Linked DNA regions of Struthio camelus. The protein of the gene in region 1 interacts with the protein of each later gene in a pairwise test. Links are inferred from orthologs where the notes say so. Each region holds a gene or a part of one and is shown in the gene's direction. Other genes may lie near its edges.

The links.
Region 2: the proteins of NDEL1 (region 1) and DIXDC1 interact in binary tests that used the Homo sapiens proteins (3 or more experiments, as listed by UniProt). The link is inferred for Struthio camelus from reciprocal best matches to the Homo sapiens genes NDEL1 and DIXDC1.
Region 3: the proteins of NDEL1 (region 1) and TRAF3IP3 interact in binary tests that used the Homo sapiens proteins (3 or more experiments, as listed by UniProt). The two-hybrid records come from large-scale screens. The link is inferred for Struthio camelus from reciprocal best matches to the Homo sapiens genes NDEL1 and TRAF3IP3.
Region 4: the proteins of NDEL1 (region 1) and CCDC88A interact in a two-hybrid assay, tested with the Homo sapiens proteins (2 studies listed by BioGRID and IntAct). The link is inferred for Struthio camelus from reciprocal best matches to the Homo sapiens genes NDEL1 and CCDC88A.

What each region holds. Positions count from the first base shown.
Region 1 is NC_090960.1:13,233,674-13,241,733, reverse strand, and holds the start of NDEL1 (nuclear distribution protein nudE-like 1), read left to right. Parts: upstream 1-5,046; 5' UTR 5,047-5,098; intron 5,099-5,565; exon of another isoform or gene 5,566-7,610; intron 7,611-8,060. UniProt on the Homo sapiens protein: Required for organization of the cellular microtubule array and microtubule anchoring at the centrosome. May regulate microtubule organization at least in part by targeting the microtubule severing protein KATNA1 to the centrosome.
Region 2 is NC_090963.1:2,702,366-2,710,413, reverse strand, and holds the start of DIXDC1 (dixin), read left to right. Parts: upstream 1-4,853; 5' UTR 4,854-5,228; coding exon 5,229-5,288; intron 5,289-8,048. UniProt on the Homo sapiens protein: Positive effector of the Wnt signaling pathway; activates WNT3A signaling via DVL2. Regulates JNK activation by AXIN1 and DVL2.
Region 3 is NC_090965.1:8,846,096-8,853,935, forward strand, and holds the start of TRAF3IP3 (TRAF3-interacting JNK-activating modulator), read left to right. Parts: upstream 1-4,699; 5' UTR 4,700-5,040; intron 5,041-5,234; exon of another isoform or gene 5,235-5,371; intron 5,372-5,471; 5' UTR 5,472-5,609; intron 5,610-7,840. Other genes in the region: 11-beta-hydroxysteroid dehydrogenase 1, read left to right, coding at 286-443, 1,038-1,149, 1,292-1,477, 2,461-2,604, 3,089-3,309. UniProt on the Homo sapiens protein: Adapter protein that plays essential roles in both innate and adaptive immunity. Plays a crucial role in the regulation of thymocyte development.
Region 4 is NC_090944.1:118,737,521-118,744,605, forward strand, and holds the start of CCDC88A (girdin), read left to right. Parts: upstream 1-4,036; 5' UTR 4,037-4,117; intron 4,118-4,634; 5' UTR 4,635-5,049; coding exon 5,050-5,112; intron 5,113-5,230; coding exon 5,231-5,331; intron 5,332-7,085. UniProt on the Homo sapiens protein: Bifunctional modulator of guanine nucleotide-binding proteins (G proteins). Acts as a non-receptor guanine nucleotide exchange factor which binds to and activates guanine nucleotide-binding protein G(i) alpha subunits.

The sequences.
Region 1 (8,060 bases):
GCAGCGTGCCCAGAGGCAAGCACACAGCCCAGAGCCGAGAGCAGAACCGCAGACAGCTTCCAGATGTGCCAACAGATGTGCCGGGACCCCTCTCATTACCTCGTCTCCCCTGAGAGAGCTCAACCCTGCTCTCCGTACACCGTTGTGGGAATAATACTCAGGCACTGCTGCAATAGGTGGTTATTCGGTGCCGGCAACTTTGCAGTGATTTCCTAGCGGACAATCATATTCTGCCTCCTTTCTACCTCGCAGGGCCGTTTTGTAATCAGACAAGTGACGGAAAGCGCTGTGCCAAGAGTGCGCGGGATGCACGCGGACAAGGCACAACGCGACGCAGACAGCATGAGTCATTTCCCTTACAGCTTTTACAAGGCAGCGAGAAAGGCTGGATTGCTTCAGAATTGCTTCAGAGCTGGACTGTGCACGTGTACAGCACCCAGCCGGCTGTAGCTACCCCTCGATCAGAGCAACACGGTGCCTGGAAAGCCGGGAAAGAGGATCGTTCTTCCAGCCAGGCCTCCCGCCACTGCTCAGCCCCCTGGTCAACCCCTCCACCGGGGCCAAGGACCTTGGCGGGGGGTTGCAAACCAAGGCTAAAGCAGGGCAAAGGAGACAAGCGGATTTCCCCAGCCACAGCCCCAAACCATGCGCTTAGCCCCCGGCCTGGGGGTTTCCCAGAGGTGTGAGTCCAAGCAGAGATCCTGCCTGGAATTAACCACCGGGACAGCTTCCCCCGGGATGCTGTGGCTTCACCTCCACTCTTTCATTCAGGGGCAGCGCGAGGCTCCGAGCCACGCTCTGGTCCTACCGCATATCCTGGGCTCAGTGCAGAAGTTGCTGAGCAGCGTTCCTGAGCTTGTGCAATAGCCGGAGCACACAAGGTGACCCAAAAAGTCCTGTACAGGAGTCACGGGTGATTCATGGTGCTCACTGAACCGCGGGACCTGGGAGGCAGCTGTACTTGCACTCTGTCCTCGGCGCGTATAAAAACGCCCATCCCCATCCTCCATGGTAAAAAGTGGATTTTTTTTCCCTGGAGAAGAGTATGGGACCATCAGCCCTGGACAACCCATAGCTTATGGCTAGTGGGACACGGGCAGAGAAAAGGTTATCAGGAAACACTATACAGAGGATGGTCTCAGAGGCGTAGTGCCCGCAGAGGACGCGGGCTGTCACACAGCTGGCAGTGCGGCATGGCCACAGGTTCAAACGCAGCTTCCCCACGCTGCCGGCAGCATGCAGGCATGGCCCTCAGCGAGGGTGGCACGTGGGGCCTTTCGAAAGCACCGTCCATGGCTAATGACAGGCCGTCTGGCTAATTACAGGGGGAAGCAAATTTAATATGCAAAGGAAACCTAAGTATCAGGTTCATGCAAAGGAGCTGGGAGTCCAGCTGCCAGGCAGCTCCTGTGCAGGAGCCACCGCGGAGGGCACCCTGCCCTCTTTCCGCCCGTGCCCTTGAAGCTGTGGCCTCCAGAGGGCTGTTCGGCAGGCACCATGGGGCATGTTTGGTGGGTACCGTGGGGCAAATTTGGCGGGCACCATGGGGGATATTTGGCAGGCACCACGGGGCACATTTTGCAAACACCGTGGGGCACGTGTTGCAAACACCGTGGAACACATTTGGCAGGTACTGCTGGAGAAGGAGCCACCAGGAAATACGGAGGACGGGATGAGCAGTGATAGTCCATCTCAGAGGCTGACAGCTGCCCCAAACTTGGCTTGGGGCCAGCAGGTTACTTAAACAGTTAAAAAAGCCTCCCTATACAGTGACTTTCCCCGCTCTAGGGGCTCTTACAGGACAGAAACACAGCAACGCCGCGAGGATAACGTAGCGACTGCAAGGCTATGGGTGAAAAGGAAGGATGGCCCAGTGGCTGGAGCAACCCTGTGGTAACAGAGTCCAATCCCTTCTCTACCACTCGTCTGGGTATGCGGTGTTCCTGCCCCTCAGGTGTACCCTTTAAAGGAACTTAGGTGCCCAATTCATACACATCCATGGGCATTCGGTGCCCAAGTCGCTTAGTGCGTTGGCCACGGTCTCAGTGCCCTATTGCCTGCCTCACCGAGGGGATCTGAGGACATAGACTTGGGAGATATCATGGTAACCGATCCCAAACAAGGCATCAGAGATAGGAAACAGCACAATGGGAGGAAGGGAGAAGGGTGGGACGCGCGGCATGTTGTCCCATCCCCAGGGAAGGCCAGCAGGAAGAGGTGGGAATGGGAATTGTCAAGGGGAGCAATTTGGCACCTCAGGGAGTCACGGTCCAGTTCCCATGCACCAATACTGATGGGGGTCCAGGACCCCCTACCGATGCTGAAGGACCTTCTGCATTTCCAAGGAGGAGATGGGATCCCCCCAAGATCCTCCCTGGGGACCAAGGCTCCCAGCGCAGGGCACAAGGACCCCATCAGCAACTGGCTGGGGCTCTCAATCCAAACGAGGACCAACACGCTTGTGACCCAGCCCCTTGGGATGGGGAGCGAAGTGAACGGGCATTTTGGGGAGAGCTCAGCAGGGATGGAGAACATGAGAGGAGGCTCTGGTGAGGTGAAACAGGGCCCGTTTGCTCCGCTGTGATGGGTCGGAGGCCGGTGTTGGCTCTGACCTCTCCGTGTCCTTCTCTTGCTGAGCGCAGGAAGCATGGCTGCAGGGAAAGGCAGTGCTTCTCCGCTCTGACCGATGGCAATTTCTCAGTCTAAATATAGAAAATTCCACACGTGCCTCCGTACGGTCCAGGACCGTGATGAAATCAGTGCTGACTTTGTTAGGGCAGCGGCCAGGCTGACTTCAAGCCTTCCTCCACACGCTGGCAGGGCTCGATCTCTGCCCGGAACACTGGAGGAGCTGCGGTGGGGATGCTATGGCTGATTTTCTGTGCCCAAATGCATCCCAGAGCCCACCCAGGGCAGAAGCCAGCTTTTGAATCTGCAGGGGGGCCTTAACAAAATTAGGACCTCCGGGGCCTGGGCACGAGCTGAGTCCCAACAGACTCATCTCACACTAGGTAACTGTCAGCATGCCTGCAGCCTGTGCCTCCATCACTATCCCTGATGCTGGCAAAGTTTGGGGGACAGCACGGTCTCGGGGATACAGATGTCCATAAGACACATAGGCAAATCCCCCTGCTAGGGAGGCAGCGAGTTGAGCTGGGTGGACACACACCACGCTGCCAGGGGTCCTCCCAGAGAGCAGGCCTGGGCCTGTTTAATTTACTAGCGCAGATGTAGCCAGGGAGAACGGGAACGCAGCAGCTTCGGAGCTATGGAGAGCCAGCTGGATGGGTCGAAAACGGCTTTCTTGCCAAAGTTGATACTTTGAGTCTCAAGAATCAAGAGATCAGAACACACCCAGAACCTCCCTCCCAAGAAGCGGCCCTGGAACAGCTCCATCATGAACGTGCTCACGTAGAGCTCGATTTGGACATGGGTTTAGGCCTGTCCGGGATGTCCCCCTCCCTCTGGAAACAGTGATTATCCTGGTCCACGGAGTCGCTTCGTCCCTCATCCTGAGCAGCCACTGCGCGCCGGCACCGAGATACTTCCCCAGTGAAAGTTTTGTTGGGAAGAACGTGCTTCTCATTTGGACAGGCCGGTGGTTTCCACTGAAAAAGGCATCTCCTTAGAGCACATCCGGCTCGCCGTCACCCGCGCACCCCCAGCCCAAGCCCGTGCCGCAGGGCACGGTCGCAAGGGACTGCAACCCACGCTGCAATTCAGCCCCACGCCCGCTGGGATCCCAGCGCTTCGGCGCGCCGCCGGCCCTCGCCTGCTCGCACACCTGACTGCGGGGCTGTCGCCGGATCAGAGAGGCGTAAGCAAAGGACTTCAGCTTTGCAGCCCGTCTCCAGCACCGCTTCCCGTCCTCCGCTTGTGCTTTCGTAGCGTGGCTGAGCCGCCAGCTCGCGGCAAAGCCGTTCAGCTCCGTCCACCCCAAGCAGCAGAAACGCAGGCAGCGGTTCTTCCTCCTGCACCTTCACCGCGCAGCCGCAAGTCCGGAGAGGCGTCAGGCCCGAGGGGAGGCCGTACCCCGCGCGGACCCCACGCCATCGCCCTCTGCAGCCCGACAACAACTCGGTCTTCCCCCTAGGGCCTCCCTCTCCTGTCTTACCCGCTACCAGCTTCCTTTCTGCAAAAAAACCCCGCAGGCATCACCTGCTCGTCTGTCTGATAGCAGCAGAAGTAACAGCAGGGCTGGGGGAGGGGGGGAAAAGCGGCTGGACCTCGGTGCTCCAGCAGCAGGGCGACGGAGCGGGGCCTTGAGTCCGGCCTTACGGGTGCGCTGGAGTCATCCCTGGTGCTTTTTCTTCTGCTAAGGCCTCTTTCTCTCTCTCTCTCTCTCAGCTACATCATCAAAATAAGCTAAAGATAAAATTAAGTCAAACAAAGAAAAAAGCTGCGAGACGTCGCAGCGAAGTCGGCCGCTCAGGTAAAGCGAGCGCTCGAGCGACGCAGGCCCGCGGGCCCGCGCGGCGGCAAGGGCCGAGGGCTCTCGGCCCGGGGGCTGGCCAGCCCCGCCGAGCAGCTCCGCCGACCCCTGCCGCCTCGCCGCGGTTTCCCTGAGGAAGCCCGCCGCAAAACCCCACGGCGGCCACCGGCTCTCAGCCCTTCCCGGCAGCGCGGACGCGTCCCCGTGGGCCCCACATCCGCCTCCATCCCACTCGGGTGGCAAACGTCGCCCCGCGCAGCGAGGCCGCGCTGCCGCGGAGCCCCGGGACGGGCTCCGGCCCCCGCAAACCCACCCGACGGGGCAGCCCGGGCCTCTGGGGGGGCCACGGAGGGGCCACGGCCCGCGGGCAGCCCGGGGGGGGGGGGACGAGCCCTGCCAGGCCCCGCGCCCAGAGCCTCCCCTCCCCCCGGCCTGGCACCGCGCAGGGGCCCAGGCGTCCCGGCACCGCCCCACGTGGGTGCCAGCGCCGGCCCCGCCCTCCCGCGGGCGCGGCCTGCCTTAGCCCCTCCCCACGCCCCGCTCTGAGGGGCGGGGCCCCGTTCCCTCTGTCGCGTCACAGCGGCGGCCCCGCCCCCCGCGGTGCCCGGATGAGGCAGGTTTGGGAGCCGGCGGGGATGCTGCGGCTGTGACAGGGGATGCGCCCGGGTGAGTGAGGCCGCGGCGGCGGCGGCGTGGGGCGGCGGCTCGGCAGCGCGCCGTGCCGTGCCGTGCCGTGCCGTGCCGGCGCGCCGGGGGCGGCGCGGGGATCAGAGGGGCCGCGGCGCCTCACGGCGGCGGCGGCGGGAGGGGGCCGGCGGGCGGGCGGGCCGGGCCGGGCCGTACCGAGCAGGGCAGCGGGGTCCCGGGGGCCGCTGCCCCGCACCCCTCCGCCGATTGGCTGCAAATTGACAACGGGGCAGGTCCCGCCCCTCCCTCCCCGCCATTGGCCGGCGGCGGAGCCCCCGCCGCCTCCCATTGGCGACAGCGCGTGCCAGTCGCTCGGCGGCCCGGCCCTGCCCGCGCGGCCGCCGCCCTGCGCGAGCCGTTCCCCCCCCCCCGCCCCCCGCGCTCCCCCTCCCCGGGGCGCCGCCGCCGCCGTCTGAGGCGATGGGGGGGTGGGGGGCGCCGCCCGCGCCCGGCGGTGGCCGAGGAAACCGCGCTGGGATTCCGGCCGCCTCCGCCGGGCCGGGCCGGGCCGGGGCGGCGGCGGGGCCCCCGCGGGGCTATTTCTGTCTGCGCGCGCGTGCCTCCCCCGCGGCGGGGTGGCCGCCGCCGCCTCCCGGGCGTCGAGGTGTTTCCTCAGCGGGAGAGAGGCCGCGGTTTGCGTGGCGTGAACTTTGGCTGCCCGCGAGCAGTGGCCTTTGGGGGAGGGAACTTGTTTAAAAGGCAGTTTTGCTTTAGCGTGGAGGGGAAAATGGCTGGGACGACGTTTGGTTTGAAATATCTTTTCTACTAGTAGGTTCTTTCCCGGAAGGTAGTTGTGTTATAAAACTCTTAATCCGTGCCTGTCAGTTCACTGGAAGCTGCCCGCTACTTAATTCCGCGCAGGCAGTTCATAATTCATGGCTGGCCGCCCTCTTTGCACTCGTTGAAAGGAAACGCTTTTTCTGACTACGCTATCGCGTTTTGCTTCCTCTTGTTACACCTCTTGAAAGTTATCTCTGAGCCTGCAAAGGTGTCTCAAGAGTGGCAAGCCTGGTTCGGATTATCGAGTGTCTGAACAGGGAAGGAAGAACGTTTTGAGAACGATTCAGCCGAGCTGGGCACGCATCGTCTCAGAGCCCAGCGGTGCAGTTTTGGGGCAAGCGTTCAAGTGAGACTGCAGAATTCCGATGCGTTAAGGCAAAATTGCCCGACATACATGCAGTTTGTCCAGCTCGGGACTTATTCCTGGCTGTGCTCCGTTCTACAAGCGGAGAACGAATTTCAGACTAAGTGACTCACTCCCAAATCTCATCTTCGTTGGGACCGTGCGGCAATCTCTCTGTCATGTGACATGTGTTATGAGGGGACACTTGTTTTTCTGGCTGTCCACTTAAATGCAGTGAACTATGCTCCCTGGCTGTCCCCGTGCTGCTGCTGGGGAAGGGGGCAGCCAGGACAGCTTTGATGGCAGCAGTCTGCTTTTGACTACACCCCATCCTCAGAGCAATTTCTGAGTGCAGAAGGACTTACCTCTGTGTGCGTGTATGTAAAGCATGCGGCAGAGTAAGCTATGTGGTTTGCCTGGCTGTAAACAGGAATCACTGCTGCTCTCTTTATACTTCCTGTGCCTATTTTGTAGGTGGCTTGGTCCCATAAGGAGGTGTCTTTTCATTGTCCAGCTCCGGTAGAAGACAGATAGCTGGGCGTATGGTTCGCCACCGTTCTCTTCTTTGTGGTGAAGGGTCTTGCTGCTCAGGGAAGTGGTTGAAAGTTGTGAGAGCTGGCATGGTCTGGTCTATGCACGTCAGGTGGCCCACAGGACAGGGTTTGAGAAGACCCCTTACGCAGTGTGCCAGAGGAAATGCTAATTTATGCTCGCCTGTGATGAAGTTAGTTACAAGTATGCTTTCACTTTGCTGTCATGGGCTTTTCTCTCACAGTCACAATTTAAATAGTTGCTTTTGCAGAGATTGCATAAAATAGTTAGTAGATCGAATGCCTGCAATATTTGTCTGTAAATACTTTTCCAGGAATTTCGTGAAGGTTACTTTTTTTGGGAGGGGGAGGGGTATTATTCTCTCTAAGCTTAGCTAGGCCTGTTTTATTTTGTATAAGCATAACCAAACTTGAACAGACAATGCCTTCCAGTGTGAGTTTGGCCCAAATTGTGCCAGACATGGCATAAAGGATGAACAAGTTGACGCAAGAGAAAATACATTACTAGAGTTAGGCTTTCGGTTATGTCTTTTCCCATTAAAACATACCCTTCCTTCCTACTAGTGACGAGGAGAGCTGTCCTCACCCACACGTACCCCAGGTTTGTTGTTCTCTATCGGTTTGCATTGGGAGTGTTCAGTGACTCAGGGTTTCTCTGTTCCCTGTGAAACTTGGTCATGAGTGCAAATAGTGCTCTCTTAGGTCTGTGGCATTTATTCCTCAAAGAGGTGATTAAATGTGCAAAACTGCAGTAAAACAGTTACTTGGACATTTAAGGAAATTCTAAGTTGCAGAAGAAGTCTTGGACACCATAGAGGTAAGTGGCCTTGTCAAGGTCATTGCTCTATTTGGAGGCATTTGTGACTATAATAGGAAGCAGTTGTACTAGGGCAGAAGAGTGAAGTTGAAGTTTTTAGGTTTTTGTTTGTTTGTTTTTAAATTTGATGTGTCAGTCGTGTTGTGACTGTGTGCAGGCATTCTGTCCTGATAGTGCCAGATAATTATGGTGGAACATGATATGACGGGTGTGGGTGAATAGTTTGGTTTTTGAATTAGTAATGTTGCGCCTGCCTTGGAAAGATGCTCTCTTACTTTCAGACCTAGACCTTGCTATGCTCTATATTCATGTTTTATATGTCGAGGCAAATACCAGGCATTTTCCTTTTGACTTACACATGCCAAGATTTGATCTTGCATGCTGTTGCAAATTACAAATGTGAAGGTATGTGTTTTGAGCCATGTTGATTTAGTTTCCTTCCCAGCTCTT
Region 2 (8,048 bases), on another chromosome or scaffold:
CCCCTTCCCCTCTGTGGGGGATCCTGGCCCCCTTCCCTGCACCTCGGGCTGCCCTGCTGTGGGGGATCCAGGCCCCCTTCCCTGCCCCCCCGGGCTGCCCTGCTGTGGGGGATCCCGGCCCCCTTCCCTGCTGTGGGGGATCCCAGCCCCCTTCCCCTCTGTGGGGGATCCTGGCCCCCTTCCCTGCACCTCGGGCTGCCCTGCTGTGGGGGATCCCGGCCCCCTTCCCTGCCCCCCCGGGCTGCCCTGCTGTGGGGGATCCCGGCCCCCTTCCCCTCTGTGGGGGATCCTGGCCCCCTTCCCTGCACCCTGGGCTGCCCTGCTGTGGGGGATCCCGGCCCCTTTCCCTGCCCCCCCGGGCTGCCCTGCTGTGGGGGATCCCGGCCCCCTTCCCTGCCCCCCCGGGCTGCCCTGCTGTGGGGGATCCAGGCCCCCTTCCCTGCACCCCGGGCTGCCCTGTTGTGGGGGATCCTGGCCCCTTTCCCCTTCCCTGTGCCCTGAACCACCCCATTGCCGGATCCCGGCCCCCTTCCCTGGGCTCTGAGCCCAGCAGTACTGGGCTGGTATGGCACACCAAAGAGAATAGTAACCAGCCACCGCAGGGTTACGTTCTTGCTCACCTCTAAGTGTTCTTTAAAAACAATGATTCTAGCTATCCTTTTTTTTCCTACTCTGATGAGTCTATCTAAAGTACTCCTACTATTTTGCATTCTATTAGCTCTTCCGAACTCCCCCGCTTTTCCTTTCACCAGACTTTACTTCAGACTTCTAAAAGAAGACTATGCAAATGAAAATGTAGATTATTAAAAATTCTTAAATACAGATAAGTCAGTATGTGGAATTGTTTCCTAATATTATTTATGGATCTTGGGTCCTTTAATACTGAATTGAGTAATAGCCTGGTTATTTGACAGTAGGGAACAGTAGAAGTTGGCTCCTGCAAACAAACTTCCTACTGCCTAGCTTCTTTAGCTTTTGCTGAATTTGGATTCCCCCTTTACACACGTAAAGAAATAATTAGATCCTTTGTGCAGTATGAGCCAATGTGACCAGGAACCCTTATGTTACATATGTTTCAAGGGAATTCTGTCTGCTGTACATAGTTCACATGTGAAATAGGGCACAGAAATGTGTAACTTTCCCGAAGTCCTAGGACTGTAGCCCTTAAATATATTTTCTGAAGGCAATGAAAGAAGATGGCAACTTTCCTCCTTTGTTCTGGTTAAATTAAGGAGTTGCCTTAGTAAGTTCCCCCCCCCGCCCCGGCTTCTTCTCCCTAAGAAGTTTCTTCCCTTTGTGTTTAATACATTTGCTTCTCCTCCTCAGGTTTCAAGGAAGACAGAGCACTGGTACATTCATTCCCCTTAGCATTGACTTAAGTCGTGGCAACCACCATGGGAACTCTGGTGGATGTAGTTCACTGTCGCACGTCACAGCCTGCTGCATCTTCTGTAAGTTTTCTGGAGTCCTTACTGGGCCTGTCCTTTCTTTTGGATGCTGGCAGGGGGAAGAGGCTCAGTGACATGAAGGCATTGGTTGCATTAGGGAGCTCTTTCTGCTATTCCTGCAGTTGTGGCCTCGCATACTTTGGTTCAGAATCCAACTCATTTGGCCTTATTTCCCCACCCAAATTCTTATCAGTGAGATCCAAAGTGTAGCCATGGATCCCCCTCTCTTTCCTAAGAGCTGTGGAGAGGAACAGTTAGTGAATGTTGATAAAGTGTTTTAGAGTCCTTGGATGGGAGGCTTTAAGGAAGGCTTAGGTGTTTGTGCTGGGTGGTGCTGCTGTGACACCACGACAGTCACACTATGAAAACGTGAAATGGAGAAGTAACAGCAACATACCTTGCCCATGCTTTGACAGTAGGAAAGTACAAGGGTTATGCTGAAATTGGCCAGGAGAGGGCAATGCCACCAACCAAACTGACATCCTATGCGTTTGTTTTGAAGATCACTCACACGCAGAACAGTAGACGCCAAGGCCCTTTAGACATCACTGCCCAGTCCCCTTCCTTTTGGATTTACCTTCAGGGAATTTTAACAGTCAATCTTGAAAGGGAGAATTGTGAAGCATTAGTTTTTATTGAGAAGCCCTTTTGTTTGCTTCTTGCAAAGTTAGTGTTCAAAGGCCTCTTGTATGATGCTATAAAACTGAAAGAAAAACATGGTTCCTGCTACAAAAATGAGAGTGAAACACAGAGGAGAGAGATGGATTATAATTTAAAAAAGGTATTTCAGCACTCTCCCAGCTGCGTTTGTGTTACTGTTACAAACAAAAGAAGGGCCCAGCATGCTTTGCCTCTCAGTCGAGCCAGCAGAAATGGCCTAGTTTCTAGTCTCTGACATTCATATTGTCAAAATGAGGCAATTCTGTTTCAGAGATAAGAAGCCCCATGTAGAAGCAAATCTTTGATGACAAAATCTCTGATGGAAAATAACACTGTGAGCAGGCCTGCACCTGAACCTGGCACTAATGAGAACACCTTGCCCTTTGCTGTGTTGGTGTTCTAGTAGGTAGAAGGTCCACAATAAGGATGCAGGACTGAGAGGAAGCACCTGAATTTCGTGTTTCACTCCCAGCTTTTCTTGGTGATCCAAAAAGGCAGGCGGTGGAGGGCTTCTAATCTGAATAGTCTCTCCAATCCAAAGCAGCTTCTTCACAGCTCCACTACTGTGTTCAGCTGAGCGAGTCTTTCTGCATTTCTCAGGGATCGAACTACTGTATTATGGGTGACATATCTGGCTTTAGGTCCTCTCATTCGTACCAGGAAATTGGCACCAATTGATTGCCTTTTCACTGAGGCTCTGATTGGGGCTGGTGCCACAGAGAGCTTGTACTGGGAGCTTGGAATTGTTTTGAGTTTAGGTGATCAAATAGCAGTGTCTGACTTCTGAACACAGCCAATCTGCATCCCTGACAACCTAGAGATACCTGTCAAAACCTCACATAAAGCTTCTATGGTCAAATATAGGTTGCACAGCAAGCAGCGACTTAATGGCAGTCCCTGTATCCTGCTGTTGCCCAAATGCTTTGCACTCCTTACATGATGGAGTGCGAGCACTAATAGTAAGTGCTTCGTTGTTGCCCATTGCTAATGCAACAGGACACCTACTGAATGCCGCTGAGGATCGTGATAAATGAACTGTTTTTCTCAGTGTATCAGCTTATCGTGATTTAAACAATACCCTTTACAAATTAAATCCTGCGTGTGCTTCGTGTTTCTGTGCTGTTTGAACAGATTATCTCTTTATTCTTATTTTTATTTATTTTTTAAATCCTGTGAATTTGTGTCCTGTCTCCAGTGTAAAATCTGTGGCTAGGGACTGCCTGCCTATGGTTTCTCTCCTCTTCAAAGGAGAAGTACCAATATCTGGAGCCCGTGAGGATTATAAGCATATAATATTTAATCTGCCATCAAATTCATAAAATAAATTCTAAAAATAGAGGACATCTAACTGCCATCTGCCACCTCTCCGTACAGAGTGAATTTGATTTTACTTCAGTACATCCTGAGTTTATTTTTCTTTATTCCATAAATTCAAGCAGTATAGGGAAGGGTTGACCTTAGCATTCTCACCTGTTAATATTACAGATCTACTATGAATGTATATTTACTATGTAGCACTGAAAAACAGATAGTAAATATGACCTTTCTTTGAGAACATTAGTCAAGATACCATTGTAAAGTCCATAGAAAAGGCTCCAATGAGATCACTTTCTATCTGATGGGGAAGCCATTTATTCAGATTATATATGAAATTTGCTTGAAATTGCAAAAGCACAGTCTACTTGATTGCATTGTACAAATTGTGGATAACTATTTATTGCCATCTAATTAGCCATTTTGAGTCTCAAAGGCAGGCTGGATCATGGTGCGAACCATCAGCAGTGCCATCTCTCAGGAATTTTATGCAAAGCCTCACAATATTTATTATTTTGCTTAACAGCTGTGATGCTACAATCAATGATAACATAAAAATCCTAGTCCACACTGAATTATTAAAAGTACATAAGGAAGACAAACATGAATAAGTAATTTAAAACTCGTATTTTTGGGGGGGGAGGTGGCTGGCTCCTTTTGGAATGGATTGGGTTGGTAATAGTATGAATGACCTTTTGCTTGTCTTTCTGAATTTTAGCAGCATCTCTCCAGATGTGGTGGAGAGAATATTAGCATGATAAAATTCTGCCATTGCTTTTTCCTCCAGATCCTTCCAATACTTAGGCTGAAAAACATGTTTGTTTTCAAATGTGTCTTCTCACTTAGAAATGCTTGATCAAAACCAAATATTATGAAATCTGAAGGCACAGCCTGAATGTCACTGGACAGTACTTGTACTGTTGCTGTGTGGATTAGCAGCCAGAGCCTCTGGCAGAAGGTGGCTTTGGCCATTCTTGGAGGTTTTTCATGGTTTTTTTTTTTTCCCCTGGGCATTTCCTCTAAGATGAGGTGAAGTTTGAGGGATTGTCTGGAGATATTTGGTAGCTATTTTCTGGAATGAAGGCAATTATTATTGCTTTAGAAACCTTGCTGGCAATCGTATTTAATTCTATTTGGAAAGTTTTCTTTTATTTTTTTTTTTAATTCCTCAACTTATTTACATGGCAGCTAGAGTAAAGCCTGATACTGTGTAAATGTTACTAGCTATGCTGTAGCCTGGTTGCAGTTTCCTGCCTCTCCAGAGGTTGCTGAAAACGCTGCTCTTTCTTCAGGGCTGCTGACCCTTGGCTGAGAGTTAAAGCTGGAGGCTGTTCTAGTCTTCCCTCTAACTTTTCTAATGAAGCAAGACATCTGCTATTTGCCGTTCTCCTTCCTGCTCTCTCCCTGCCCCCGCGCCGCACAGAGCTCGCTGTGTTTGGTGGGTTTGAAAATCTCTTGCACGCAGCAGGTTCCGCGTGAGAACGATCGCTGGAAATAGGTTTCAGATGTTTCCCCAACTCAGTCCTGGGCCTGCATCTTGTAAGCTGAAGCGTTTCTATAGGAACCGTGTGACATCTAGCTTGCTACTCCCCCAGCAGCTCCCTCACGAGCATGCCCAGTGCAAGCCCTGACTTTGGCTCAACTATCCTGCGTGCAGCAACGGGCTGCGCATATGGGACTATGAATACGGTTCCTGATGAGCTCCAGCTCCAACTCTTTGTCTTTGGGAGGAAGAGGTCGTGCCCTGAGCCAGAGGAGCTGCCTTGCGTCCGCTGAGACCCTCGCCCTTCGGTGGGCTCGTGGAGAATGCTCGCCTGTTTGGCCAGGGGGAATTTACTGGATATCCTGCAGGAGGGCTTCACGGAGGTAAATGCATGTCCCAAGCCTCATGCAGACCTTTCCAGGGCTAGGCAGCCTTCTTTTGTGCAGCTTCTCTCAGGAACTGGTATGTCTCCTAGCGTTCTGAGAAACAGAAAAGGAGGAAATGAGCATGATTGCTGAGAGGGAGAGATGCTTAGTAACAGAAGAGCATACCGGGCAGCTCAGCCAGGGGTCTGCAAAACAGCAGTTCTTTTGAGGAGTTTGTGACTGTTTTACAGCTGATGTTTTTAGCTCAGATTTTTTATACTCTTTGCAGACCTTTTTATTCTTGTATCAGAAATACTATAAGCTGCTGTAAGGTTATGGGGAATGGATTATTTTGTAGCGCTGACGCCTCAAGTCTTGAGTCTAGGAGATCTCTGTGCCTGAGAGCTGTTGGAAAGTCTGTATACAAATCTGCTGTGTGGACACACACGGTTCTTGGGAAAGGCTGACACAGAGCAGCCTGTCTGGGTTGTTATTCCATCCTGTTCAGTAGGTTGGACTTCTGGGGAGTGAAATTCAGCTTGGTCAGGAAAATAACGTTTTTCAAGTGTTCTTTATTTGCTTATTCTGCTGTCAGGGAGCCAGGTAAATCATAAAACGAGGAATGAGAACTGCCAAGAAATTTTCCAGAGATGGGAATGCTGAGACTGCAAGGAGAGAGCAGGTTGTTGTTTGCTTCCCTCTTTAGGGTGCACAAGAAGTTAGTTGATTTGGACTCTCTCTTTGTGGACTTGGTACAAAATGCCAGGGCAGCCACTGCCTGCCTGGAGTTCATCACGCAAACCACGCTGGAGCACCATTTCGTGCCTGTAAGCTGAGAAGGAAGGAAAATTGTGGGGGCTTGCGCTGGAAGCAAATAGTGGCTGCTGTTTCCTTTCTCACCTGGTGGAGGGGATGGTCTTTTGGTGTGTTTTACTCTTTCCTGGAGCGCATATCCTGTTTTGGTTGTGTTTAGTGGTTCCTCGTCTGTGCAAGGCCCTGACACCATCTGACTGTGGAGCCCCCGTGCTCCATTCTTTACAGCAAACGCACATCCCTTCCGAACGTAGCAGCACCAGTCATCAAAGGCAAAACAAAAGAGGTATGAAACTTGAACCTCACAGCGTCATGCCAGCCACAGGTCTCCCTTTAACGCTCTGCTCAACTGTGTAAATATTCCATCCCCTTCTCTTCAGAGAACCTCAGTCTCGTTTTTAGCTAGCAAAGGTATCGCTTTAGTTCAAGTTGTAGAGATTTACAATTCCTGTTTTCGAGGGCATTAATTTCTTCTCTGGCGTAAGCTAACAGTAACCGTTATATTAATAGTGGGAACAAAGAGCAATTTTACATTCAATGCTAGTCCCACCCCGTCTGTCTGGTTTTACCCAGAGGCTGCCCAGCTGCCACGGTAAAACCTGAGATTCACCCTTATGTCTCTTACTTGGGATCTCTGCACTGGGCCACATCACGCGCTTTATAACTAAAGGCAAATTAAAATCAATTTTGCAGGTGTAAAACCTAAGGCACAAAGAGGTTAAGTGACTTGCCAAAGGACCCACATCACATCACTGACAGAGCTGGGAATGAACTAGAAACCCTGCAACTCCTTGTGTTCTGTTTTGATCCAGCAGTCATACTCCCCCCTCTATCCAGCTTTTTACGTTATGTGGTTATTTGCTTACGTAAGTCCCCAGATGTGATATAGTGTCCCGAGGTGTCCGATCCCAACACAGGATTCTGGTGTTAGAAGGCTGGGGGTGGCTACTAAGCATAACGTTTGAGTGTGAAAACAAATTCGAGAGAGTCGGACACAATTTTACACAAGTAGCAAATTGCAAGAATTGCCTTGCTAACTCAATGTCTGTTGTGCTTTTGGTAGAGCATCTTTTGTGGCCAGGTGGCTGTTTTTGTGACTAGGTACCTTGCAATATAAGGACATACTTTCCAAATCTATGCATAGAAGTTTAGTTCACACAAATAAATAAGTAGCTAGCAAGCTTATAGGGGTATAGGTGCTAAGCTCAGGTGCAACCCTGGACATGCTTGGGACCTGGAGGCTAGGTCTAGTTCTCTTGCTTTAGGGATGTTGGTTATGTGTCTGTCTTGCACCTTTGGTCTGTCTATAATCCATGCCTGGAAAGTTACTCTACCCAGCTGAGAGGCTACAGAGAAGTTTCTTTTGTTTCTTTGCATCCTCCCTCTCTGCGTCCTGCTGGCTGAAGGCCATCCAGGCAGCCTCGTTATCTCTTGAGCAAGGATGGAGAATGCAGCGTCATTGTCCCTTATGCAGCTAATGCCTGTTCTGCTTCACAGATAACCTGTCAGATTGGTGCTTTCTCCATGATTAACATAATCACAGATTGCTAAAGGGGGACCTGTAAATTGCAAGTTCAGGGCTGTGCATTTCCCTTCCCTTTCAGAGTCCCTGGGCCAAAAATGGTTGCGGAGGGTGTCATCTGCAGACGTCTAGAGCAGGGTAACTTTTGTTTAATGTTGAAATGGGAGTGAACTCCCCTGTGGGCATCACGCAGCTCCTGTCCCTCTTTCATTAATGGAATATCCTGCCTTGAAGGTGCTTCCCTGCTGTTTAGAGAGTCTTATGCTGCTCTGAGACAGCTAAATAATTCAGTCCCACAGCTGGATAGTGCCATGGGAATGTGTGGCTGCTGTAAATGGCAGTTTATAACATATGGAAAACCAGAGTGCAGGGTCTCCTCTTGATGACTCTGTCCGTGTGGCCTCAGGCCACTCTTTCTTTGAGGAAATGCAGTTTATTTAAGA
Region 3 (7,840 bases), on another chromosome or scaffold:
TACTCACAGAATGGACCGCAGAGCTTAGATCTCTCGTGCACTCCAGTTCAGACAAGGATTAAGGAGCAAATTCCACTCTGGGTTTGTGAGAGCAGCTGCATGTTACAGTAGTGCAGTGTTTCTGCGTGTAGCTTCCCTGATCCCTTTATCTGGGAACAAAGGTGAAATAGGCTGAGAGGAGACTCTGCTCTCAAGGGCTTTGGAGAACTAACACTCTGGCTCATGGGGCTGCCAGGCACAGCATGGGCCTGCACTAGGGGTCTGATGCTGTGTCCTACTCTCTAGAGATGCTCAGAGGGAAACGGGTCATCATCACAGGCGCCAGCAGTGGAATCGGAGAGCAGATGGCTTATCACCTGGCACGCATGAGGTCCCATATCCTGATCACAGCACGGACGGAGGCCAAGTTGCAGAAAGTAAATGCAAAACAGAGCACTCCCAAGGTGCCCAGCCACCATAACATCAAGTAGACTAAGTTTTACAATCCAGAATCCCACAGGTAAAAAGTGCATGGATGTTCACCCTATCCAGAGCACATGAGGATGCCAGATACCATAGAGATTCGCTGTTCCATTTTCCCCAGCATGAACCTGGGGAACTCCTCACACCATTTTAGATTGTATTTTCAATGCTGACAGCACAGCATTTTTCTCCACAGTCTGCAGTTTTAGACGCTGATCACCACCAAGGACAATACTAGGCTGCCCAGATCTTGGTCTGATCAACCCTTATGGTTGTCAAAGTCTGAATTGTTTTGGTTCCCAGTATGCAACAGAATCAACTAAGCAGTCATATCCCTTTTCAGTATCTTCTATAAACACTAAATATTTGGCTCAGATGTGCCACTGTTTAACTCATTGCAGCCAGAAACAATTATATGAGCAATACATCTCCTCCCATGAAGTCAAAACAGTTACCAATGGGCAGAAAGACATGCTCTTCCTATCTGGCCCAAAAGACAGCTTACAGCATTTGCAGGATGCTGGGAGCTGACACAGGAGTACCTGTGTCTAACACTGTTCTCACTGCCGTCACAGGTTGTGGAGCGTTGCCTCAAGCTGGGTGCAGCATCTGCTCGCTATGTGAGTGGCAGCATGGAGAAAACAGCATTTGCCAAGGAGGTGGTGAAAGAGGCTGAGACAGCCTGGGGTATGTGGTGGGATCTGCCTTTTCCTCATTAACCTCCAACACCCCCCTTGCTCAAGTTATGTTTCAAGGTGTTCTAGCCAACAAGTAAAGGCTTTTGTTTTGAGGATGCAAGTTGCCCATAACAAACATGTTCTGCTTCCAGGAGGCCTTGACATGGTTATCTTAAACCACGTCGGTCACAGCTATCTCAATTACTTCAATGGGGATGTCGGACACATACGAAAGCTCCTAGAGACCAACTTCCTCAGCTACGTGGCCATGACTGTTTCTGCCCTACCAATGCTAAAGAGCAGCAATGGCAGCATTGTTGTCGTTTCATCCATGGCAGGTGAGCACGAGACAGGCTAGGGAGTCCCAGGGCAGCCAGTGCCACGCTCTTCTCCGATTTTAAGCCTCTTCCACTGCCTGCAAGGGATCCCATCTGCAGCTTTTCCTCAAAGGAGGGAATAAGGACCATAAGGCAGGAAGTTATCTGGCTGGGATTGGAATCTGTATATATTGTGCACCCAGTGTGCAAGTTAAGTCATCTGGAAAACTTATAGTTTACACCCCATTCTTCCTCAACCTACCCACTGTCTTCTCCATGAAGGAGGGATACACACTCCTGAGGTCCTATGTTTGCAGTTAGCTGAACTTCCTGCCAAAACCTGGGATGAGAAGATTAAAAACTATGCAAGTCATCTCTCTTTCCTGCAGCTCCACAGGCATCCATGAAGGGTGCACAGCTGGAGCTGTACCTCTAAGCCCAGAGACAGGAAGTTCAGGGAGGGGCTGCTAAAACCCACATCTTGCTAAGCAGCGATAGCAAATGCTGAAGACAGATGTTATACGTCGGTTCTTTCTTAACATCAAAGCAACAAAACCTGCCTTGAAAGCATTCTCTGATAAAGGCCAAGGACTACACAAAACTGATGGGCCTATCACAGCAGCATACCTTCAGCATTAAATCTAACTTTCAAACTAAGAAAAATACTATGCATTACAGTTGATGGTATGCCACTGCATGTTATTTATGTGCATGGCCATTTATTATGCATTTGCTACACATGGATGCGTAATGCAGGAACGGAAGAACAGTATCACCTACAACTGAATGTACTTCATGTCACTATATGTCACATGCTACAGGAAAATTAAGTTAGGAAAACTTTTGTTTCTCTCCTCCTCATTTTAAACATCCTTTCATATATTTATTTCTCTCAAGTACTCAGAATAGATCACTTAGTCACTCTAAATCTAAATATTTTAGCTACTCCAAGGACAGTACTCTGGTGCAATATGTGAACACTGACGTTCTGCCTCCCATCCCAGGTAAAGTTGGCATACCATTTATTGCTCCCTATTCTGCAACCAAGTTTGCCTTAGATGGATTTTTCAGCTCCTTGCGACAGGAATTCATCACTGACAATGTCAATGTTTCCATCACACTCTGTGTCCTGGGCCTCATTGATACTGGTAAGTTTGACATTTATCTAGGCCTCACTATTTAGGAGCTGTGCACACCCATTGCTAAGTCAGAAAAGGCATTTTAGACAGAAGAAAGCACTCCAGATCTGCCAGTATTCTACTTCCCCAGCACTGCTGAAACCTCAGCCCTTAAGTGGCGGCACAATTTTGGAAACAGGAGCTCAACATTTAAAAAAAAAAAAAAAAAAAAAAAAAAAAAAAAAGCGGTCCCAGACCTTTGACTCAACTATCCTTGTAATAAACTCAGGGGAGATGGGGATTTGGTTCTAGAATTAGTTGAGAGTTGGAAAGGCATGGGAAGGATATTACTGTAATTTTGTACATATTCTAAACTTTAGGAAATAAACCTGATCCCCAGCATTTCTATTAGTTTGTTAAATGAAGCCATGGATACCTCTGAACTTTGAGCCTCTAGTACCTGTTGCAGCCTCCCTCCATCTGACATCACTTTTTCTTGCTCTCCTCTCTCTAGAAAGTGCTATGAAAACCATTCCCCATGCGATTCGTGGGACAGCCGCACCAAAGGAGGAGTGCGCGCTGGAGATCATCAAGAGCGGAGCACTGCGCCAGCGAGAGCTATACTATCCATACTCAACCATGAGGAGTCTGCTCTTCCTTCGAGACTGGGCTCCAGACTTCCTTGATTCTCTCATAAGAAACAAGTTTAAAGTGGAAAATATCAAAAAAAAGTAGCTATAGGACACAGTGGATCCTCCTAAGGCAGCAAGCATGTCAGCATGAGGCCACAGGAACACAGCGGAACATTGTGCAGGACACACGATTTTGGTATTAATCCAGCTATTCTGGGTGCTGTTTGCTATGTCACCAGAGTGGCTTCACAGTGATACATCTGAGCAGTTGTGTCCCCACTCATACAGATGTTTAAAAAAAAAAAAATCCCGCCCTATGATGTTGCGCATGGACCTTTTCTGAAAGCAACATGGCCGGGGAACACAGGGCCTCCTCAAAGCTGTCAATTTAAGAGAAGGCATATCAGAAATCTATGACACAGCATGCAAATGTCTGTTTTAGTAACAAATTCTTGTAACTAGCTTTTTCTGATCAATAAACAATTCAGAAAAGTGTACTGACAGCAGAATTTCCCTATCAGTGGATTTTCTCTGCTGGCAGCTGGCCACTCCAGCCTGAATAAAGTTAAGCTTTGTGCCTTACTGCAGTTCAACGTCTAGAAACTATTCCCTCACTAGAAAACCTGCAAGTCATTAAAACTTAAAATGTTTTGAGAAGTATACAAACTAGGATCCTGGGCCTTCTGATATTTGTATATGCTTTTGCCGTATATTTTCCCTTCATTTTATCACATCCCTGTCACAGAAGAAGAGATTAAGTAAAAGGCAATTAACGTGAAAGAGAGCTGAACCCACAAGCCATACTCCAGTGTTTCTGCAGGAAAGACAAGGAGACTCATAGGAGCTTGACTGAAAAATTTAATACCTTAGTGACCTGGTCAAAGCTATATTAAAAAATTAACAAAAAAGATTTAGATTGGGGGCATGGGGAACAGGATTATAAAGGGGAGCCACATGGTTAATAAGCAAAGGGGAAAGGGGCCTCAGTTCATTCCAAATAGGGATTTAGGCTGAACTGCATGAACCTCACAGACAAAGCTATACAAGAGGGTCTTTGAATTGGATTTTTTTGGTCATGTACCCATTCTAGGTTGGTCTTTAGAAAAGAAATCTCATATTACTTTATAATATACTTTTATTGTTGCTCCTCTTCCACATGAATATACAAACAACCTTTACCAGTGCACAGCTGGTTAAACCAACCTCTCTACATGATTTGCATTAACACAGCTTTCACTTCTCTGTAAAGACCTTGATGAATTTCTGCCATTCGTGACCTTTCCTCAGCTGCTAAAATACACTTTTTCCAATCTACAAGAAGCCTTAAAATAATAGCATTACTGTACTTCCCTAAGTCTGCATTCTTTACTCAAAGCAGCTTGGAAAGATTCAGTCACGATGCGCCACAAACAACTCCTTGCACCAGCACTCAACCTCAGAGTGTCAGAGACTGATAAAGAAAGATAGCCCAGAAGGTAGTTGCTGGCCCTAACAGTGAAATTGCAGCCTCTCGCATCACAACATAACCCAAATCTCATACTGAGCCAGGCCCCAGCACTGCCTTGCACCTAGCAGCATTTTCTCCTATGCTACAAACTCAGAGCAGAGACAGGAACCAGGGTTAGGCACTGTGGCTTATACATTTCCTGTTTTAGAGAAGAAAAAAAAAAAGCAGCAAAATTAAGCGGTTGGAACGAAGATGGCAGTTGGAGCATGTTTGTGCCTGATAATCTAGCGCTCACCCTTTTCTCCGCCAAAGCTTCACAGAGGTTGTGGAATAGGACTGAACTCATTTTCGGTTCTTTCACTTCGAGGCTAGCATTACAGGACAGAGGTAAGTGTCTACAGCTCTGGGGCTAGCTAAGGATGGACAGGAACAGCAGGCTGGCAAGTTAAAAGGCGGCAGCATGTGCCTTTCCCCCCCCACACCCCTTCCCTGGTCTCAGCCTACATGATTGACACTGGGAGGTTGTAACATGAACCAACAAGAAACTTTTTTTTTTGTTTTTTTCCGTTTTTTTTTCCCACTTGAAGTGAGAAGTGTAGCAGCTTGGAAAGCAAAGATAAAGGACACTTTTTTTTAATTAGAGAGGGTAACTTTAAGTGACAGAAGAAAATAAAACATTAACTTGTCAAGAATGCCTCAACAGTTTGCTTAGTGTGGGGTAAGTAACGGACTGTGTATTTCTCTATGTTTCTGCCTTGCTTTAAAACATATTTTTGTTTAACCAGCTATATTATAAAAGCTTTTCTTGGGATGCACAGTAACAGGATCTGCAGACCACAGAGGTGGAGCAGGTGGGACAGTGACTGCGCTGTTACAGAGGGACAGAGTTTAACCGACCAGGCCTCTGAGCGTGGAAGGGAGAAGGATGTCTGAGGAGCAGTGCCCCGATTCAGCATGTAATTAAGTCATTTCTAAGTTAAGAAAATTAAGTTGAAAATGCTTTTATCAGATCCTGAAGAGTTTGGAGCAAGTTTGGCTGTATATATACATTTTGTCCCAAAATAAGGGTTTCATATCCAGCTTCAGGTTTTAAGGGAGGTTTGTTGGGCATATTGCTTTGTGAAGCTGTTTGCCAGACCTTGCCTGCTGGGCTAAGGAAAAGCGCATGTGTGAGCAAGAAGAGAAAAGGCCCAAAATGAAAACAATGAAATTATGGTTTGGACATGAAAGCTGTATGGAAATAATATGTTTTGCCTTTTAGAGTCCCAGACTTCAATTACGTATTACAATAAGAAGCATCTGAGTAGTGAAATACTGTTGGGATTGTTCTGTAAATTTAGGCTAAAATTAGAGACACTTCAGAATCTATTAAGTTTCAAAGAACAGAATATTAAAACAAATATGAATACAAAAAAGACTGCTGTCTAATCTTTCAGTTAAGTGATTAATTTCAGCAATATCTTTGAATCTTCGTTTTCCTGACTGGCTGGCTGAGCATTTGAAGCAATATGCTGGTTGTTAGTTTGCATGCATTTCCTCTGTTTAAAGGCAAGAACTATTCTGATCGTTTTAAAAAGGCTGTTCTCATTTTGAAAGGAAGTCCCTATAAAAAGGCAGTGCTGGTAACATGCTTAGGTTATGCCACATCTAGAATAAAAGCCAATAAAGAGTATTACGGTGCAGATTTTAAACACAGAAAAAATTAATTTTTTTCATTAGACTCATTGACTTCTTAATTGCTTGAGACAAAATGAGACAATGCAATTGTTGTTTTTGTTTGACAATTAGCAAGATTTAACCTGGATTTTCCAAGACTAAAATTCTTCTTTTTCCATACTCCATCCTACATTAAAACAAAACAAAAAACCCCACACCACAATACTTCTCATACTCAGAATTGATGACAGATACAAAAGCAAGTAGGGAAAGTTAGCAGGAGCACGGAAGGCCTGCCAGGCATCCGAGTGATCTACTGAAGCCAACCATCTTTCAGTTTGCCAAGCTTTGAGAGCAGCCAGCTGCAGGACACTGAACTAGCAGAGACGCATTTAATAACTGCTACCAACAGTTGCTTCAGAAGTGTTGCACATAGCTTTTACTATCATACCTTTAGTGGTCCAATCCAAAGACAAAAGCCTCAGCATTCTGATGTCACAGCAAAAAATAGGGTGAGACATTGGAGCCTTGCCTTGCAAAGATACATGCTGTTGTTGTGACCGCTCCCTCCAGGCACACGAGTTGCTTTAACATGGAAGATGACATCTGGAAGAGATCTCCATTTCCAGCCTCTGGACCCTATTATCGGAAAATAATCTAAGCAATACCTTAAGTTTCCCTCAGCCCAATTGGTATTATTGTCACAGTCCCAACACAGCTATTCCAGTCCTCACTTACACTGATGTAAATTAGCATCAGAAACACTCAAATACACACTGAATTGGGGAATTTATTCCTATATGATGCAGAACAGAAAGTAGTCCAACTTTAAACAAAAGTTGGAGTTAGGAATTACATGTTTGTGCTTTGATTGGCGATTTGAGGTTCGCCAGTCTCACAAGTGTTTTTGCAGAGTTTGAACTCCACTGCATGCAGCCAAAGCTCTAATTTTTTTCCCCTGGGCTTAGAAGGATTTGCTGGTTTTCCCTTGGAGATCATGGGAGGAACAGGGGGGTGGAAAAGGTTGCCTTGAGAGTTAGCAGCCATCTAAGCCAAAATACTGGGGAAGGGGAGGGAGCAACACAGAGATAAAAGAAAGAAGCACTGGCTAGCTAGGGTTTTTAGAAACTGGGTGCTTAGATCTCTTGGGCCCTTTTTGGATGTTCCACTGAAAAACATCTCTGTAACACTGTTTTCAGTGTTCCAGACCTCTATGCACACAGAAAAGGCAACCATCACTAAGAAATACATGCAACTGCTTGAAAAGTAAATTATACAATAGCAAACCTATATTTACTATTTTTTTTACCTTTTTTTTTTTTACTGAGAAAAAAATGGCAAAATAAATGCACACTTAAAAACTTCATTACAGAAATAGCAGTAGCCATTGTTCTTCCTGTGTTTTCTTTAGGTTAGCTAAAGGGCTGTAAGCAGAAGCAGTGATGAAGTTCAGTGTGCACAAAAAATAAAAATAAATAGTTTGAATAACACAGGAATTTTATTTCAGCAAGAAAGCAGTTCTCCCAAAAAA
Region 4 (7,085 bases), on another chromosome or scaffold:
GGGTCTAGGCACAGATTTCCTTCTTTGCAGAAGACGCTGAAATTATAATCTTTGTGGGGCCAAAGGAGATGCAATAGAAATAGGGATACTTTACCTATAGAAGGACAAACACTGCACTTCAAGTTAACAAGGTTAATTTCTAAAACTGTGCTTTCAGAAATTGTAGGCCACGCACTGTATTAAATTCTGACAGGTCTGTTGCAGAGAATGGAAATGTAAAAGAACAAGATTGTCTTCTCTGCGTTTAGACAAATTATAACAAGTGTAATTTTTATACAGTTCCAAAAGATTCCTGAATGTGCATCCCTGGAATAATTGAACTATTTAAAGCTTCACTACAGATAACTTAATGTTTCTACCTCCTGTTGCTTCAAAGTGAAGGAACGCTTCCAACTATCTTATCAGTTCTACTAAAGCCAAAATACAGTATTTTACTTTCCAAGGAGAAGAGGGAGACAATTTCAAACTGAATCATACCATTTAGGAGAGTTGCACATGTCCTAATGAAATCAACAGAAATTGAAAACTATGAGTGAGTGATCTTTGGGAGTGCTGGGAGTAGGAGAGGAGGAGCAAAGATGGATTCTTACAATTTAGGTGGCCCACTGGTCCACTAACTGAGGACACAGTACCAGTCTGAATATATACCTCATTAGACACATGAGGATCTGGATGCGCCACCTTGGGGTGGGGGGAGCATTTCAGCCAGCTCATATTTGGGGACGTAAAGCAACCACCTGCTACCAGGCTTCACTGTTCCTGGGGCTGACAGGACTACTTTCTGCTTTTTCACATTACCTGCAATTATATTAATATTTGTAGATTATACTTAAATATTTTTACTGTCTATGTAAAGAAGTAATTGTATTTTAATTATAAAACACGTAGTGCTGTATCCTTTTGAGGAATGAGGACTTGGGAGTGAAAGAGATACTAGCTTTAAAAGGAGCAAACAATTGATGTGATCCTGGAAAATGTTATAAACGTGACCGGAATGTGCAGAACTGAACTCTAATATTGAGAAGCTTTATTCATTTAAGATAGTGTTGCAGGAGAACAGTAGCTTACACTGTCTTCCTACTCACCTGCCCAGTCAAGAGTCTTCCCCTGAATGATCATGAGATGCGTTGAAGAGGAAAACATCTAGCGCTACAGGTATTTACAAAATATTGTGAAAAGAAATAATATTCTGTAGGCCCTTGACGACGAAAGAATTACATTCCTGTTACTTTTGATGAGTGATGATGAGGGAGAAAACAAATCTGTAACAAACCCATACTATTTATGGCTTTATATACAAGACTTTGAATTGAGCTTCCTAAATAGCCAGTTAACTCAGGTTGCCACGTTCTACAGCTGATACTGAATCTTTACGCCAAAGTTCCTGCATTTGTTCCTATAAGGGTGGCCATGAAGCTTGTCTTGTGGAGTCTCTCCAGGTAAAAAGTAAGAAAAACCAGTGCATCCAAACAACCCACAGGTTGCAGATTACAGTGATGCTGCCTAGCCCCTTAAAGCGGAGCCATGACTTCTAAAAATTTCCTAGACTAATACTCCTGAAAACTCCTGACAGCTAGGCTAAAAATGGAAGCCTTCTGTTTTCAGTGTGGGATTAGAAAAACACCTCAAATTTTCTCCCTTTTAGTTAATTTCAAGCAAGCTCTGTCAAAAGAGGGTTCAGAAATCAAAACCAAACATCTCCCCATCCTATGACACCCAGTTTCACCCCTGTCAGCATGGCTACATTTTAAATAACCATCTCGCGCGGCTCTGCAGCTGAGCTCAAGCTGAGCCAGGAGAGCAGGGATTCGCTAGGGTAGGTACCAGCAATGCACTGGTGTCTAGAGGCTGCCAGTAGCTTTATGTAGGCACTGATGTGATGAACGGTAAAGCCAACTGAACAACCCCTAGCTTGTCCAATTTTTTGCAGCTATTACAACATGGTAAATAGCTACCCTATCAGCAATGCATTCTGAACTGACGTGAGGGTTTATCTCACTGAAAATGAGGTAAATTCTTTTACAGTTTGACAAGGTGTACGTTACAGAAACGATAAAGCTTCTTCACAAGTTTTTTAGGGCTGCTAGTCTTACCCAAAAAAAAAAAAATCATAAATGAAACCTGACTGTTTCTGGGCACCTTTTCTGAAATTTCAATTTTCCTCTTGTGTTCATCTCCACCTTTTATAAGCAATCATTTGTTGGGCTAAGCCAGTTTACAGTATGTTTCACAAAGAAGACATGATGCAATATTTATCTAAAATGTAGTAGTCTGACTGCAGGAATGGTGAGCAATAGCAATACTGAGACTGTGTGCAAAGTGAATTATGGGTTATATAAAAACCTGCCTAAAACTAAAAATATTTAGAACTGCTTAATCAGAATTTAATCTAAAAATATATATACCAACTCAGCATAAAATACTTTTCAGGAATTGATTAGCTAGCTGCTGTTATTAGCATGTAGCTAATATTTGGGCTATCAACTCCTACTGGCCAGTCTTCAATTCTCAGAAAATGTTTTATGCCCAAGTCACTGTTGCCTAATTAGAGCCTGCAAGAAAAACTGATGAGCCAGGGAAGTTCCATAGTATTGCATGCACAATTGTGTACTATATACTGTTGCCAGATACAGGGAGCTTCGCGGCTGGTTATTCAGGCTTTTACAAAAATGCTTTTGTAGTTGTCTTTAAGGGCTAGTAGTTTATTGGCAGTTATTTCACCCATGTATCACCAGACTCCTATTTTGATCCAAGACTGTAGTTTTCCCTTTGCTTTCTGTTATTTCTCTTGTTTCACAGGAAGGCTAGTCACGAGTTCACTCCAAAGATCGAGTTTGGGGGAAAAAGAAGACCTGATTTTATTGAAAAAGAAATCTCACTGCAAGAATCAAAACAAAGCCACTTTCCTGCAACTTCTTATGCATAAAATACAAATTGCATAGTAATATTTCAAGGTCCATAGTTTATTTTGCTACTCCTAAACGTTCTCTTCAGTTTCATATATATGGGAAAAGGTCACTGATGCGGATTTTTTTTTTTCCTAATCTTCAACAGTTAGGATAAATACCACATCCAGACATGTGGGTTAGAAAAACTAATCTGTTTAGATGCTACTCTACTTGGATTTTTTTTTCCCCAACATTGAATTTCAGTCACTTTATTGCATTTTGTCCTTTTGTGTGTGTGCAAAAGTAAAGGTATTTGGGAAAATGCTGCTGCAATTTAATTTATATTACATGGAAGAGAAGATGGATTTAGTTTGAGATTTTTGTAAAATGCTTTGTGAATAAACTACATAATCTATTAAGCAGATACCATCCCGTATGTTAATGCAGTACTTGAGATTTGAAATGCACAAGTGGCAAGAGATGGCTTAAGGACAATAGCTTAGGCAAGCAAATTGCTTGTCATCGTTTGCTTTTCTGTAACCAGGTCGCCCCCCCCCCCCCCGCTCTCCCCTTTCCCTGCTAAATCCCTCCAGAAAGCTGGATTTTGTGTTAATGGGGGTGTGTCTGGGTTTCATCTTAGGAAGACCCCCCGCGCCCCCCTCCCCCGCATCGCTGAAGTGCACGGTGAGGGCTGCGGGTCGCCGCTCTCGACCTAGGGAGCGATGAATCCCCCATCTTCCTCTTCACGGGCGTTAGCAACTCCCCCTCCCCACCCCCCTCCTCCTTTCTTTCTTTCACCGACGAGCTTTCCCTCGCTTTCCCAAACGGGAGCCAAAGAGGTTTTTTTTTTTCTCTCCTGGCCCCCCACCCCCGCCCCTGCGGGTGCCGGGCCGCCCGCCGCCCCCCCCCCCCCCCCCGCGAGGCACGGCGCGGCCGTTGGGCTCGCGCGCCGCCAGCGCCGCAGCGGCAGTGCGCGCGCCGCGCTCGTGCGCGCCGGGTGCTGCAACGGTGCCCCGCCCCTCCCCCCCCCCCCCCGGCCCTTTTTAATTCCGCCGCCAGCCACCAGCGGCCGTTGGGCGGGGGAGGAAGGGACCCGAGCTGGCGGAGGGATAACCTTTTTCTTGAGGCGGCCTGGGGCGGAGGGATCCATACGGTGGAGCCGCCCGTGGGCGAGGGGGGGGAGGAGGGCCGGCTGAGGCGGCGCGGTCGGGCCGGCTGGCTGAGGCGAGGTGGCCGTTATTTGGCAGGAGGGGTGGAAGGGGAGGTGGTGGCCCGGGGGGCGCGGGAGCCTGAGGCTCGGGGGTGGCTGCAGAGCCGCGGCGGGCGGGAGAGCCGCTGGAGCGAGGCGGGAGGGGCTGGGGGGCGGCCGGGGAGCCCGGCGGAGGGGCCGGCGGGCGAGGAGAAAGCTGTGACGGGCGGGGACGGGGGGAGCGGCCAGCCGGGGGGAAGGGCGAGGTTGTGGGGAGAGGCGGCGTGTGCCGGTCCTGTCCCTATGTTGCGTCGTAGTTTAGTGGAAAAGGGAAGGGGTTAGAAAAGGGAACTAATTAAAAATAGCCTCTGATCCCTGCTGGGGGCTGGTGTCCTCTCTGGGGCTGCCTGTGCCATTTGGGGGGGGGGGGGTCATTCTCTTGTGTGCAGAAGCAGCCTGAGGGGCTTAGCGCCGAGTGGGGGTGGGGGTGTATGCCCCTCTTCTTCGCTTAACCTCGTCTTTTTTTTTTTTTTTTTTTTTTGGTGGGGACGGGGCAGGATGAGCTTGCAGAGTTTTACTGGATTTTCTCCTTCCTTTCTGAGGAGCTACCGCTGCTGAAGCAGATTTTTCCTTCCTTTCTTTTTGTCTGATGTAGAATCCTAGTAGCTAGGCAGCCTCCCTCTTTTCTTCCTTCTACCCCTTCAGTATGTAGGAAGGGAGAGACATCAATGGAAAGGCCGAAATACATGTAGATGGACTTTCAAATGCTTTTTTTTTTTTTTTTATTTGGAAAGAGGAAGATAGAGCCTACTTGCCACCGACTTTTTTGTTGCTGTTGCACTGCTTTGTAAAAATGGGGTTTGCTTACTCCAGCTGAATCCTCTCAGTGTTTTAGCAAGTTGCTACAGTGGAGGACTTCTCATATTTTTTGCATCAGAGGAGCAACATTGATGCTAACCTTTTTTTTGTAAAATGGAGAGCGAAATATTCACACCCCTTTTGGAGCAGTTCATGTCTAGCCCTCTTGTCACCTGGGTAAGCATTAATTTTTCTTTACACGTTATTCTTGTATTTGCTTGTTGTTTGAGGATAAATGCCTTGCTGCACAGAAGAGGATGGAATTTGTGTCACAGTGTTGATGATTATATTTTAGGTTAAGACATTTGGACCGTTAGCTGGAGGAAATGGGACCAACCTGGAGGAATATGTGGCGCTAGTGGATGGCGTGTTTCTGAACGAAGTCATGCTGCAAATGTGAGTGTACTCGAGTTGTGTGTTGGATTTGGTTATTACTGTTGTCTTCCCTTCTGTATTTTACTTTCTTAGGAAAGCTCTTCTTACCTTCAATAACAATGTTAGTAAAAATGTCTTCTTTATTTTATGCTTGAAGTAGTCTTGTGGCTTAAAGCATTCCAGATACTCTTTATTTGTTTGCAGTACAGTATTTTTAATGCCAAAATGATGTATTTGCAGGAGGTATACGGTAATACAGGCAAAGTCATATCTAGAACTTACTGGAAAATTGCGCTTGAATCACTGTAAATGCAGTTTCCCAGATTTCCATTTAGAAGCATAAAGGTTCGTTCTACTGTAAGTCGCAGTCATAAACCAAATTTCTAAGCAAATTGCTTGGTTAATAAGATTCTAATGCATATCTTAGTTCATATGGTATACAACTTAAGGATAGTATGTCAGTCAGCGTAATGTTGTCTACTAACCAAATGGGCTGTTCTGTAATTCTTTTCGCTTTGTTTTTCACAGTGCCAAGTTTGAGTAAATAGAAGTTGTGTAGTAAAGCTGAAGTGTTATTTGATAGTGTAGAATGTTTTTTGGGTTGCAAACCACAGAAGAAACCTTTTTACATGTTTTCTACAAGTGTTTATTGAAAGCTGTGATTGGTAGAAAGCTTGCTATGTAATTTTATTGATGTAAGATATTACAAGCTATGTATTTATATGTAATTTAGAAGGCAGGTAGATCAAGAAGTTCCAGTCATAGAAATACAGAAATAGTCAACTGTGTGTTGTATTGTGTGTGTGTTTTTTTTTTTTAATCATAGTTTTGACTGGAATGTTGCCCACTACTGTAATGCTAGCGAATAACACTTTTGTCAAGTGCATAGCAATATAATCATAAAACTGCTACCCGTGGAAGAAAGATCTCAATTTTTTCCAGTATTTTAGATCTATACAGAGAAGTACATCTTTTCTTTGCATAGCTATGAGTAAGTGTAGGCTTATGAATGGCTTGATAAATAACGCCAATGTGTGAGCAGCTCGTAATGACAGCTGTTACACTGCTCAGTGATAGGCATCCTTGTACTGTGTTCATAGTTCTTACTTCAATTTTTTTTTTTTTTGCTGTTGGTGTTTGGCATGTTTAACTAATCTATGTAAAAGCTCTGCTCACCACATTTAAGACTGAATTCTCATTCTTTAAAACCAGTATCTTGTCACCAACTTCTGTGCGTATAAATTCCAAGTACTCGTTTTCTGTTGTTCTGAGAAACATGGAAAACTTGGAGTAGAAATTTCTGTAAGAAATCTTGAACTTGAGTGTATTTCTGGCATATTTTTGTAAAAAGAATTGTAAGTGATGCATTCACAGAAACCCTATTTTTATTCTACAGCTTAAATGTCTTTACTTGGTTTAGGTATAAACTAGGTGTAGAACTTTCATTCAGTAAAAACATTGGATAGTTGGAAGCGAAGGCCTAATTTAGAATTGGGACAAGGTGATTTTGAAAAATGCAATCTTGAAATTAAACTCTCTCAGCAAGTTTTTGCAGTATTAAGAAAGAGTATAACCTGATTAATACGTATATGGGAAGTCTGCTGCCTTTGAAAACGTAACTCAAATGGAAAGTTGTAGTGAGGGAATATTCCCATGCTTCGAGCGCTGTGTTTTGAATTTGACTTTAACTTTGTGTGTGCATCTTTGGCCCCATTCCCTGGAGTACTACAGTTTATTTAGGAAGAGTTATGTGCGTACACATAAAATAAATACAC